Linked DNA regions of Astyanax mexicanus. The protein of the gene in region 2 purifies or fractionates together with the protein of the main gene of each other region. This does not show direct contact. Links are inferred from orthologs where the notes say so. Each region holds a gene or a part of one and is shown on either strand. Other genes may lie near its edges.

Region 1 (7,380 bases), on a different chromosome or scaffold from region 2:
AGTGTGAGAAGAACGTAGGCTGTGAATTCACATACGCACCTGCATCATTGAATATTTGGACTCTGCTGGGCTCCCAAACCCATTGACCCCAATAAAGCTGCTGCTGAAATAGGAGTTGGTCAGATTTGCATCACTCAGTGCCCCACTGTCCATCCCAGGGACTGAAACAAGACATACACAAACATCCATATTTATGAATTGTATCCAACAGGGACAAATCACTCTTATTTGTTAATTGTGACATGATAAAATAAGACATATAAATAAGGTTTATATTAAAAGTATATTAAAGGTTACTGCATTATACCACGTACACCTTAATCTGTTACAAGCTATTACATTAACTTAATAAATCAGTCCTTCGAAAACATTTATTTGTACAAATTAATTTCCAGTTAAACTGTTAAAATGTATATAAATAAAAAGTGAATTCAAGCCCTGGAATCACGAATCATCCCATCAACAGCAAAACAATTTTAGAACACAAATCTGTAATCCTGAAAATAAAAAGCTTTATTAAATGAGATATCAGCGCACCACAGAGAGCTTTTACCAACTTTAAAACTTTTTTTTGCAAACTAGTTTTTATCAAGTTAACTTGCACTTATTTCATGGCACAACAGGGGTGGCATTCTTAGAAACAGCTGGTTGTACATGGCACTATGACCTCACAGGAAGAAACACAAAGTTTACAACACATTTTACAGTGTTGGTTTCACAAGGGATGTAATACAGGATTGGATAGAATAGTCCACCTTACCTATCAGATCATCATTTTCTACTAAAATCTGTTACACACAAATACACACTGATACCTACATGCCATTGCCAAAAGGTTGTGTGGCATTAAGGGGCGTGACAACTGTTATATAGTAGGTTTTTTAAAACAGCATTGCAGAATAATTCATGCTGTTATTCCCTTGGCCTACAACTGGAGAAGTTAAGAGTCTGAGGACAGGTTTTTCGGTTAAAGACAACAAAATTTGAATTAAACACAGTTTGAGAAATATAAACTTTTTTCTTCAGCTACTGCAGTTCACACTGTGTGTATAGAGTCACAGTTATTGAAATGGTCACTGCCTGACTGTTTAAAATACTGTTCACCATTACATATGTGAACAAGCAAACACGATAGATGATAATATGATAATCTAATATTATTGAGGACATGTTCATTTACTGTACGATAGACTGATAATGTAATCATCATGACCGGCCTAATACAAACAAACTGATGCAATTCAGAACGCAATGTTTAGTTAATAAACATTACGAGAAAAATTACACCTCTCTCCAAATTTGTCTGAAAAATATTATCCAGTACCTATATTCCATCTCTTAAAGTGAACCACATAGGGGAGTCTGACATTTGTTATATTTAATGTTAACATTACACTGAATGTTAATGTCAATGTAATATCACGGGTTTATTCAGGTTATTGCTCCTAAATAATGAAACAGATGAACAGAGAGCATGTGCAAAGCTAGAAAGGTAGAAACTGTCCAACTGAATATCAGCCAATCACATGCCTGCTCGGAAAGACGTAAACAGTTTGGTCAGCTGACGCACACCGCGCTTTTTGGTAGTAATTCATAAACATTATAAAAACTAAAAAGAAGAAGGGTTATCTTCTTCACTCTTGTTCAGGGTGGAGGTATGAGCAAATATCTTACTGGGGACTCTCTGTTTAGACAGTAGTGCTTTAAAATAAAAGAAAGCAACTTTGAAAAACAAAGCATGGAGGAGCTTTCCTAAACACACAAACCCTGCAACTGCTGCAGGAAAGAGCTGACAATGCGGGTTAGAAGTAACAGCTCCAGAACTTCCCCAGCCACACAAAACCCTCTAGTTAAATCACAAAAACACTGCCTGACTTCAGCGGTTAGCTTCACCAGCACGGCGAGGCTGCTTCAGCTTTTCACCCTCAAACAATGACAGGTGGTGCAGCTCCAGCTTCGGCCCATATAAACACCTTCACGAACGAGCTGGAACCTCTTTTAAAACACTTTTCCAGAATTTCCACACTCCGTCTGACTAGTTAACTGTACAGTGCACAGGAATATAAGCTTCTCTCGGTTTCCTTGTGTAGTTTTAAGAGTTGAGACTATTAGTTAGCTAGCTAGCTAAGCTAGTTAGCTAAGCTACTAGTTTTGGTGGAGGGAATGAGGCCTCGCTGAATCCTCGGCCTCGATTTATGAACAAGCCCGCTCTAAGGCCCCGTGCTTTAGTCAACACAAACAAGCAGGGCTTCCTAGGCTTCTAGGCCCCATGCTGTCCTCTCAGTTTCCTCCCCAGACCCCAGCACTACCACTGAGCGCCAACTTACTGGTTAGAAGTTGCCCGTCCAGAGCTGCCCCAGCTGGCCCGAGGGCATCGCTCTTTTTGGGGACACTTGTGGGAGCAGTGCCCGCACAGGCCGCCGCTGCTACCACCGCGCCGCCCCCAAGCGGATACCCAGCTGCCGTCCCGCCGCCTCCCGCCATGGAGAAAGGCACAGGGCTGCCTCCACCACCACCTCCTCCAGCGGCGCCTCCTCCACCAGCAGCACTGCCGCCGCCGTGCACAGGCATGCTGGCCAGAGTCGGGTCCTCATGCACGAACTGACACTCGTCTCCATAAAAGCAAGTCTTGTCTTTCGCGTAGTAGCGGCAAAACTTCACCTTCACGCCTGGTATCCCCACCCCCCCGAGCGGAGCGGCTGAGGGTGGGAGTCCGCTGTTCATGGCACCGCCGCCGCCGGAGTACGCTCTACCATAGACGGGGAGGGAGAGGGGGAGACCTAGGGAGGGGGGGGCTCCTAAAACACACTAGTCCAACAGCACACTCGGCGCTCTGCAGTCAAAACCTGTGCCAAAATGAGGGCGAACATCCAGCCAGAGTAACTCAGGCGGACATTGTGCTTCGGGAAAAGCGGCACAAGCTGCGCCGCTGTGCTGAAATCTGTCCCCCGCCGCCGCCGCTGTTGTTATTCAGCGCCGCTGCTGCTGCTGCTGTTGTTGTTTTCAGCTAAGCGCTAACTAACTAGCCTCGCTGTGCATTATGGGGGCTAACGCTGCAGTTAGCTTTAGCAGACACTAGGGGCTTCATATACTGTATATACTATACATATAATTATATAAATAAATATAAATAAAGCTTTATAAATAGGATTTTTGTTTTGACTTTATTACTGCACTTCACTGCTGCTGAAACTGAGACTAAGCTGAGCTAAAGGTTTGTTGCCATGTGACTCTTCATGCACCACCAGTTTTCTCCAGTTTACAAGAGTCTTTCAAGGTGTAAGAAACGGGTATTCACCGCTTCATCCGTAATTTCTCTAAAGATATTTAAAAGAATTTCTCTTTAATAGATACAGAGTTATATGGAAGCCCATTTCCGCCACCTGAAGAAAAAAAAAACGTCCTCAACTAAGTCATTATTATGAGATAGTAAGTCATTATTATGAGATAGTAAGTCATAATTATGAGATAGTAAGTCATTATTATGAGATAGTAAGTCATAATTATGAGATACTAATTCATAATTATGAGATAGTAAGTCATATTCATGAGATAAAAAGTCATCTCATAATTATGACTTTGTATCTCATAATTATGACTTTGTATCTCATAATTATGACTTAGTATCTCATAATTATGACTTTTTATCTCATAAATATGACTATCTATCTCATAATTATGACTTTTTTATCTCATAATTATGACTTACTATCTCATAATTATGACTTAGTATCTCATAATTATGACTTACTATCTCATAATTATGACTTACTATCCCATAATTATGACTTTTCTATCTCATAATTATGACTTAGTTGAGGAAGTTTTTTTTTTTTTTCAGGTGGCGGAAATGGGCTTCCATACCATAGAGTTATCTATGGAAGCCCATTCCTGCCTTTTCTTTTTTTTTTATTTAATATCAGAAACTGGACTACTATTTTAGTGTGTTGAAGAGTGTGGCTCTGGCTCCGACTATGCTGTATGTTTTGTTTGGTAGGCTTCACTGGAGGGAAAAAAAAAACTTTTTACCCCCCAAAAACAAGACTTAGTATCTCAAAATAATGACTTAGTACCTTAAAATATTGAGATAGTATCTCAAAATAATTACTTAGTATCTCAAAATAATTACATAAAGTATTGGAATAGTATCTAAAATGATGATTTAGTATGTCAAAATAATGAGATAGCAGTTTACTTAATAATAATAAAAAAATGTTGCTCGATTATTTTATTTTTACAATCTGTACCAGCACTTACTACAAAGGATTTGTAAATTGACACTTTTTTCCATTGCTACTAACCAGCTGTAAGCCAAAAAACTTTTTTTTTAAACAATAATTAAAAATATATATATATTTTTAGATCATTTCTTTTCCTTAAAGGCCCAGGTTAGCATTAGTAAACACTAGGGATTCTAGTTAGTCATGAAGAACTAATCTATTAACACATAAAGAGCATGTCTTAAATGTAATATAAAGTCTAATAAAATTGTATTCAAATTTTGCTTTTTTAATCTCGAAGCATTAGCATTTGGAGTTCACATAGATGCTGGACCTTTAAGCATAGTAAAGGTAAAACACAATAAAACTAATTATATTATGAATCAAAATATCTATTATTATAATTATTTGTAGTTGTACTTCTGGTATCCACCATCGTATCATTTTAGACCCATTGATCTCAAATTATTTAAAACAGTACAATAAGAACAATACATTGTGAAATAACATAAAGTAAACATCAACATGTGATATTTACAACAGGACAGTTTTTATATATGTTTAAATTAACTAATCTTGTACCTTTAAAAAAGAAGTTCAAGTTCAAGTAAGATTTCATGTCATATGCATTATAGGTATACATTAAAAACAGCATCGTCTTGCAGACAACACAAAGTACATATCGTGGGCAACAGGAGAAATAGGGATATTGCATAAATCCACATACAAGAAGGATATTGCACATAAAAGACAACATACACCAGAAAACAAGCAACAATATCTTAAAGTAACAGAATGGAAGAGTGAGTGTCTGTATGGAGTGAACAGTGCAAATGCTATAGACAAATTGTGAGGGATTTAGATTTAAAATGAATCAAATTGAAATGTTTAAGAAAAGTGTTAAAGGGCACGAAAAATTCAGAAATCTGTTTTTACACATAATGTCTCATCTCTTAGTAATATTAATATAAAACCAAATAAATTATTAGATACTTAGTCAGCAATTAAAATATTTTTCACGTTAGTAACATTTATTAAATAAACCTTTAACAATACACTTTAAAGATTGAAAATAAAAATGTTAAACAAGAAAGGAAAAGGTCAAGCCATACTACCCAAATTTTCTTAACTGGTTAGACTCTGACGGTCTTAATTTGATCAACGTTAAATGTTTACAATGTTGAACACTTATTATGTGTGCATAAATAAATGTCTCTCGTCTTAAAGTCATCATAGTTCAGAAACTTTGTCACCTTCTGAAGGAAACCACAAAGTGCATGAGAGGTTGGGGGCGTGAGGCTTGAAAGTCTATGCGTCTCTCTACTCTCCACATCCCATTTTGTGGCTGGTGCTCCTCTGGTGTGCTGTTATGAACTCAAACGATGCAGTTAAGACAAAACACGTTGTTGTTGGGTAAGTAACCCTAATGCAAAAAACAGGTTTGCTAATCAGATCCTAATTTGTTAAAATTATGTGTGCTGTTGAGTAACTGTACCATCTTCATAGTGCATTTTAATTTTACCGTGATGTTAATTTTCTTTCTGTTATTATTGTTATTATTATGAGTATTACAGCATTGTTCTAATTGTAGCAGGTTTTTATTGTTGGTGGTGATGTGATAAATTTCTATTACTCATATTGGCTTCTTTTAGTACTCAAGAATTATTTCAGTTCTTTTTGTAAAGCTTTCACTTTTTTTTTTTTTTTGCACTGAAGTACTGCAGTGGTGTGTACTTGTCTGCAGTGACCGGCTGCAGGATGGAGACATACAAGAGCATCGCCTGCCCTGTGTCTCCAATGAAACTGTAAATTTTAATTTCTTTTATTAATGAAATTATTTTCATCAAGTTCTGTGCTTTTCTGGTTGTGTGGGTGTGAGAGTTACAGTAAAACTAAGTGTATTACTGTAAGAAAGTTTATAAGAATTAGTTTTGGAAATTAGTCTGGGGCTTCACTGAGCTTGTTCAATTTCTTTGTACTTTGAAATGTCAAAATTTATTTTTTGTAAATGAGGTCATTTAGTTGACGAAGAATAAAAGCAGAACTTACACAGTAGCAACAAATGCAGAAGTGTGGAACCCACCACAGCTGCCTTAAACATTACAATACCTTCTTCACTTCTCTGTGACATTTATAGACGATTGCGCCTTGTGTAATTACTTTGTATTATTTCTTAAATGAAAAATAACACTGCATTCGCTTGATAAACATTATTACAAAACTATTAAATAAAAGTTTGGAATCAGTTAGCTTACATTTTTATACAATGATAACCTGAGGATGATACCTTTAATATTATTAATATGTCTTAATATTAAAATATATACTTAATTTAATATTTTAAATATGCTTTGGAGAAAAAGAATATTAAATGGTATGACAAACCATATACTGTAATTCTGTGTTTAGAGGAATTTCAGGGGTTTTTTTGTTTACAATTTCAATAATGGTGATGTACAGCAGTCATTCTACAGTTCTCTAATTGTTCCATTTTCTGTCCTATGAATTATTTGAAACTTGTAAAATTAAACAGGTCTTTTATACTACACATATTTTATATTTATCTTTAACCAAATTGGTTTTATATTATGAAAAACATTGATTTCCAACTCTAGAACTGTGACTTTAATATGCAGAGCAATGGTTTCTGATTATGCTGTCTTGTTGCAGACTGTTACATGCAGCTTGTCTGAAGAGGCCCTAAAAGGGTTTCAGACAGTAAGGCTGGAGGTCCTGGTAGGACAGGTCGCTGAAATTCACTTTACACCTTTGGGAAACAGTTCTGGAAATTCTACTCCATGCTTCTGGGCACAAAGGTGTGTTTGTTTGTCTTTGTCTAGTTAATAATACCACTGCAATTTATCTATTTTGGATAAGGGTATTTTCACATTATCACATTTGCTAAACTGGCTAAGGGGTTCCTATTGCTAATGGCAGGTTAGCCCATCATACTAAGCTAGAGGTTAAATATCTTTCTTCAGCACTGTTTGTTCATTGCTGATGTAGTTCAGTGTCAGTTAATGTGACTGAACCTGTGTATAATAACAGATTAATCTGTCTCACAGGCTGCTATAAGTGGATGGGTCGATAGTGCGGTATTAATTCCTCCCAACCTGATGTTTCTGTTTCAGAACTGCACAAGCTGGTTTTGATGCAGAGT
Region 2 (7,017 bases):
TTTTAGGCCATGTCACCAATATAATGGTCATCTTTAATGACACCATCTTCATTCAACTTCAGAGTTTACAGTGTGAAGGTGTGTAATGCATCATACTGGTAGGGAATTCCACCAGAAGAATATGTTGTGGTGTTTCATGTTAATGGAAATTTATTAATTCTCATCTTCAAATTGTGTTTTTATGTGAAATCAGAAAATTACCCTAAAGTTCACCGCAGGTGTGCCCAAACCACAGATCTACTGCTCTGAGGAGTTTGAAACACACCTGGCTTTTAATACCAAGATGATTGTAAACTGTTATTACGTAAATCAGATGTGTTGGCTTAGGGGTGGTAAATCTCCAGGACCAGGTTTGAGCACCTCCGGTTTACAGAATTTGCTCAATCTCACTATATATACTATACTATATTTGCTTGTCATTTAAAAGCATCAATATACCTGACTATACAATAATAATGCCGGAAAGGTTCATCCAGGTGTTGTCGTCATGATGATATAAAGCATACAGTTATTTTTCTGATGAAATTTCTTTACCAGTTTACTGACAGTCACTTACTTCTAATTTTAAAATCTCAAGTTGAATCCAAGATGGTGGCATAGAAGATATCCACTATGTTTCCCCCTTCAGCCACAGCTTGTGTCTAAAACTGGGTCAATTTCTGCTACACTGTTTTATTTTACTTGGATTTTTTTATATATAGCATCTTTGACAGGGTATCTGCAGATGATGATAATTAAAATCTTTATTTAGCTAGTTAATCATCATATAATACAATAACTATCAACACTACAAACATTGTCAGCAAATTATGCAATCCTTTAGAATTCTTACAGTATTAAAAGAAAAAAACATTAACATAATTTAATCTTTAAATAATATAAATGATCTTTATAAATTGCCCTACATACCATTTTTTGAAAACTGAACATGAAATCTATGTTAGCGTTATTTCATAGTTTAATTCCAACAACAGATATACATCTCCTTTTAGTCTCATTTCTAGCTTTTTGTACAACAAATTTACTTTTATTTTAATGTTTTTTTTTTCTATTAATTCATTCATCGTCAATACCCGCTTTATCTGTCAGGGTCACGGGGTCGAATTCAGCACTTCCTCATGGGAGAGGCTGCAGGTGACATGACTATTTTCATTATTTCTTAGGAGTCAGCATAGCTTATAACAGCATTTTGGATAATTTCATTTTCTAAAAAAAGTTAAAGCCAAGAAGCCGAGAGGGGGTGCTTTTCCTTGCAGTGGTGCTGAATTCGGCACAGTACTGGCATCAGGTGAAAATGCTTCTTTTAGATGGATAAAAAGTTTCTTAAAAAGTCATTTAGTTCAAAACTAAATCCTTAATTTGTCTCCCAAAGGTCTCCCTTAAAATGTCACAGACAGAAAATAGATATATATTTAAAAAAAATATATATATATATATATATATATAGTTTTGTTTCCAGCTATATATTGCATTATACAGTATTTATATATATATAATTTTATATATATATATATATATATATATATATATATATAGTGTATGATGCAATATAAACAATGTAAACAATATAAAACCTACATGGAGGATGTGTGATTTATTATTCACACAAAATCTGTCAGCAGCTTACAAGCACTACATCTACACTCAACCAAACCACCATGTGACCTTCATCTGATTACATCACTTGTTTCTTCCATTTAATACAAAACAATAGAGTCAGAGTGTACATTTCTCACTTCAGCCTTAACTCCAACTAAACCAAATCCCATCATTCATCTCTCAGCGCAGAGTTTCATTGGGGTTGGGGCAATTTTTTAATTCCAACGAAGCCTAAACTACACCTCTCATGGCTCTCATAGAATTTCCATCATTTGGCACACAGACCCCGATATTCCTAGAATTCCAGCCGTAATGATCTTATTGTCCAGTCTGTACAGTTGCAGAAATGTTGTGCTCTTTTTTGTGGTTCAGGAGCACGTGCTGAACTTTGTACAGAGGAAGTGGGTTGGTGGCTTCATCTGTAAGTCATTCTTACAGATAGCCTGAGTGTGTGTCTCTTTACGTCAGGCCTCAGATTCACACCCTCAGTATTACGTGACTGTTAGCTTCTGTCTGCCCCACTAAATTCCCTTTGATTAAGTTAGATCAATAACTCTGTCAGAAAGTACAGGGACATAAAATACCAGTGAAAAAATATTTTCTCACACCGCTGTATGATATCAAAAATGGCTTTTCCCTTCTTATCTTCTGTCAGCCTGTCATGAGTGGGGAAGCCTTATTTTGATTTCTACAGTATTAAAGATGGGATTAGTCATGATCATAAATGATCAGTCATTGGTTAGTCAAAGCAGATGTATATTTAGAAATACACCTTACACTCTAAGAAATATAAGTACAGATTTGTACTTAAAAGAGTACAAAGCTTGTCGCTGGGGCTGTACCTTATATTGAGGTACAAAAAAGTACCTTTCAGTGAAAGTCCTTTTTTGTACCCATGGCTTTTGTGCCAGTAAAGATTATAAAGATTATAAACATTATCATCAACTAAATATGGCTCAAAAACTTGATGATACAAAATTGTCTGGCTTTCAAATAAAAAATGTGCAATTTAAATATATATTGTTTATTAGTACAGTGATACAGAATACTGAATGTACCTTTTGTCTGGTTAAATGGTACAAATTTGTACTTACTGCCGTTAGAAATGACTTTGTACTTCAAAGGGAACACATCTGACCCTGTAAAGACCAATATTGTACCTTTGAGGGTACAATTATAAAGAGTGTACCTTCGAGTACAAAAAAGTACTCATATCGTACCTCTGTTTCTTAGAGTGTATGATGTATTATGGAATGTATTTATATTGATTACCAACATTGTTAAATGGTTAAAAATGTTAAATGGTTGTGTTAAATATTATTTGGGATATTTCTAACATATGCAATATTTGAATATGGCTGACAAACAGTTGTTTTTATGTTAATGTTTTGTCTCCATGAGCTAAATACAAAAATGAATAAAACATGAACACAAGTTATATATTAACCAAGCTTTCTATAAATAGATTACCACACATTAAATGAGTCAATGAGTGACGTTTGACTCTTTCATTTATATCAGTGCTGTAATCCAGCAAAATAGGGAAGGCAAATGAATTAGTTTCTCTCTGGTAGATTTTCTTTATCTTCTTTATCAGCGTATGTGTTTATGTATGTATGAGTTAGAAGATAAAACTGCAGATACCTGTAGCTCATGGTGCACCTTTTTGTGTCATGCCCATATAATAAACTCTGAGTACAAATGGTGTAATTTTTAGATGTTCATAGAATGACTAATCAGTTATTTTAGTTTACCTAAAATTCTGATTAAATTTACTATACATCTTTCCTTGTGGTCAAATGAAGGGCCATTAAAAAGATACAACATTCCAACGGGCATCATGTATTTTCTTCATTATTGCATATTATTTCACATAACATATAAGATTAAGACCTGCTGTCCATCATATATACATTTATCAGCCAATTTAACAGCAGTTCAGCCTCGCCCTCTACATTAAAAAAAATCTGCACACTGAAGTAAAGCATGGCAGTATTACGTCTAATGAGGTACCAGGAAATGTTTCGTTTATTTTACCACTTAGGAATGATTTGTGAAAAAAAAAAAAAAAAAAAAAAAAAAAAAAAAAAATATATATATATATATATATATATATATATATATATATATATATATATAAAAGTTATATAGAATACAAATATAATCTTTAATTATATTTAATATTTAATATTTTATTATTTTATTTATTACATTACATATATTGTTTTTAAATGCATTGCAGACAGAAAAAAAACATTCTTATATTATAAAAATCATTCTTATATTTTTTAGCACTGGAATTAGTTCAGGTCTGAAAGGGATGTATTGGATTTTGAGGGGGTCAGACTGTGATGGTGGTGTCTGCAGCAGGTGTTGTGCCGCAGAGTGACCCGCGTGCAGTCTGTGCTCCCGGAAGCGGAATCGGGCTGTATTGTTGTTGTTTTGAATGGCTGGAGTGATGAGCAGAGGAGCCACCGCTAATTCCCTTCATATTCTCACAGTATGACCTTCATATTCACATTTATAGCCTGTGCTGAAACACCGGACTATATTATTCCTATAGCTAGAGTTACAGCGCCCTTGAGTTTTTATTTTCTCTGAAATTCACTGTTTTATATGGAATGTGCAGCTTTAGCACGAGAGCTAATGCTAACGGTCTGTAGGCTTTGCTGGCTGGATACTGGATAGCTAGTTAAAAAACGGGGGTTTTAACTCAAAAACTAATATTATATTGTCGCGTAATATTGTTTTAGCCTGAGGAGAAGCAGGGCAATTATATTAAAACACAGTTAGGTTAACTAGCTGGCTAGTTAACCTAGTAGTGCTGGGTGGTATGACCGAAAATGTCTTTATATCACGGTATTTTTAATATTAATTACAGCTCTGGAAAAAAACAAGGGACCACTTCAGCTTTTAAATTAGTTTCTCTGATTTTGCTGTTTATTGGTAAAAAGTTGTATGTTTGAGTAAAATGAACATTGTTGTATTATTCTACGGACAACATTTCTCCCAAATTCCAAATAAAAATTGAGACGTGTATTTGCAGCATGAGAAATAACAAAAAAGATGCAGAGCTTCCAGACCTCAAATAATGCAAATAAAATAAGTTTTAGAGTTCAGAAATTAATATTTGGTGGAATAACTCTTGTTTTAATCACAGTTTTATGCATCTTGGCATGTTCACTTCCACCAGTCTTACACACTGTTTTTAGATAACTTTATGCCACTGCTGGTGCAAAAATTCAAGCAGTTCAGCTTGGTTTGATGGCTTGTCATCCATCTTCCTCTTGATTATATTCCAGAGCTATATATAAGATTGTATATTAGTTTTTTCATGACTGGAGTTTTAATTAGGTTTCTGACTTACTGCCTTAAATTAAGTTAATTTAGTTCAATTCATATTTAGCTACTTATATAGCACTTTGTAAAAAAAAGTTGTCACAAAGTAGCTTTACAGAGAAAACAGGTCCAAGCATTTTTGAACAAGCACCACAGAGATGCCAATAATTGTGGAGGCAACAGTGGCAAGGAAAAACTCTCTTACATAAAGAGAAAGAAAACCTAGGAGGAACCAAGTCAGAGAAACCCATCCCCCTCGGGTCGACCCACACAGTACAAACAAATAACAGAACAAGACAACATTACAGAGAGATAATGTGGAGCTATAGCTAATGTAAAACAGGTTCTGAGTTATGAGTGTAACAGGTAATGGGCACATAATGGATAATGGAGAGCTATAGCTATTAATATATTTAAAAGGGCTATAGTTACTGGTCTTGAATGTTTTTTTAACCTCATATCCAGTGTTCTGGGGAGTTTTATCACTGGTGCTGAATAAATGATTTTGTATCCAGGACTGATTCTGGCTCGCCTGGGAGACAAGAGAAACTGTTTTCAAACTGTTTGCTTAATTGCTTATTGCTTTTGCTATTGCTATTGCTTAATTCCATTCGTTACTGTTTGCTGTTGTTTTTTATTTTACTCGGACAAAAACACTCATACAGTGAGGAGCAGCAGCAGGAGCTCCTTAGGTAAAGCGCTGTTCTCATTTTTCTCCAGGCAGGATAGCTCTAGACAAGCGTTTGACTCCACAGAGCTGAGCTTCTAGTGTGTTAGCTAGTGAGCTGTGCCAGTTTGCTTTTTTTGTGAAAGAATATGTAAAGAAATATATTTGGCTGTTTATACTCTTTCTCTGGTCCTAGAGACCTTCTCCTACCTTGCAATATTTTTGGTTCTTCCTTTCTCTAAAAGACCTGATTTGAATGATCAGCTGGTTATCAAAAGTCAAAATCTAAATTTAAGTTTGCATATACACAGAGACACCTAAGCTTCCAAAAGTTATATTTTCCTCTCATAAATATGATTAATGGCATTAAGGATTAAATCACTCCTTCAGTGTAATTAACCCAAAAGAGCCCAGACCCATTTCTGAACATTGATACCAATTTCAAAATCAGACCAGACTAAATTAAATAAGCAGCTCATTCACGTTTGTTTCTTATTGAGAGCAAATGACTGTAAATATTTTAGTTAAAATCCTAATGTAAAATAGCTAAAGAGTACAACAACAATTTTATAGAATGCAACATTCTGTATAGAGTAGATCAAACTCTCTGTAGTTTTACCACTCCTGCAATTTAACAATTTGTTCTCTTAGTTAGTTAATCGTTCCTTCAGTTTAATTAATGTGTTGCCTCAATTTAATCAATTGCCCCACAGTTTTAAAAACCTGTTCCTTCAGTTTAATACATTGTTCCCAGTGCAATTTAAGTTCCTTAGATTAAAAAAAAATCCATTTCCTCAATTTAATCAATGGTTTCTCAGTTTAAAGAAGTTTAGTTAACCTGAGCAAATCATTTATTAAATTAAGGGGAGCCTTTTTAGAGCTTTAAAGCTAGCTACCTTGATATTTTAGAAGCTTTCTCTTAACCTGTTGAGGACATATAGTCCTCCAAAGATCCTTATTTGCAGTAGAACTGAGTATTCAGTGCTTTTCAGTATGTTTCAGTATGTCTTTAACTGTATGTTTTGTTTGTGCTCCACAGTAGCACCTCCGTCCTCATGATGAACTTCGAGGGTTTGGATCCAGGCCTGGGCGACTATGCCCCGGGCCTGCACGGGAGCCTGGAGCCCGGCCTGGATTCCTCCCTCGACCCTGCTCTGCTCCAGGGTGTGGAGCTGGACCCTGACGCCCTGGCCGTGCCTGTGCCCGAGTCCGTGCACCTGCTGGAAGGCATGTACTCTGAGCTCCACAGCGTGGCTGCAGAAGTCGGCATTCCTGTGACAGCCACTCACTTTGACCTGCAGGAAGAGCTGCTGTGGATGGGGAACCACCGGGTAAGCTGACACACTCAACCACAGATGACACCATCTATTGTTGTTACTTTGACAAGGGTTGTGAAAATGCAGTCAGTCACG

What was found. The genes of interacting proteins can lie anywhere in the genome.
Region 1: the proteins of pan2 (region 2) and pan3 purify together in Homo sapiens (co-immunoprecipitation; 5 studies listed by BioGRID and IntAct, with this or other methods). This does not show direct contact. The link is inferred for Astyanax mexicanus from reciprocal best matches to the Homo sapiens genes PAN2 and PAN3.

What each region holds. Positions count from the first base shown.
Region 1 is NC_064408.1:96,473,911-96,481,290, reverse strand, and holds the start of pan3 (PAN2-PAN3 deadenylation complex subunit PAN3), read right to left. Parts: upstream 3,019-7,380; 5' UTR 2,725-3,018; coding exon 2,328-2,724; intron 162-2,327; coding exon 40-161; intron 1-39. Other genes in the region: receptor-type tyrosine-protein kinase FLT3, read left to right, coding at 5,603-5,633, 5,937-6,025, 6,891-7,036. UniProt on the Homo sapiens protein: Regulatory subunit of the poly(A)-nuclease (PAN) deadenylation complex, one of two cytoplasmic mRNA deadenylases involved in general and miRNA-mediated mRNA turnover.
Region 2 is NC_064420.1:44,624,580-44,631,596, forward strand, and holds the start of pan2 (PAN2-PAN3 deadenylation complex catalytic subunit PAN2), read left to right. Parts: upstream 1-3,996; 5' UTR 3,997-4,099; intron 4,100-6,644; 5' UTR 6,645-6,660; coding exon 6,661-6,936; intron 6,937-7,017. UniProt on the Homo sapiens protein: Catalytic subunit of the poly(A)-nuclease (PAN) deadenylation complex, one of two cytoplasmic mRNA deadenylases involved in general and miRNA-mediated mRNA turnover.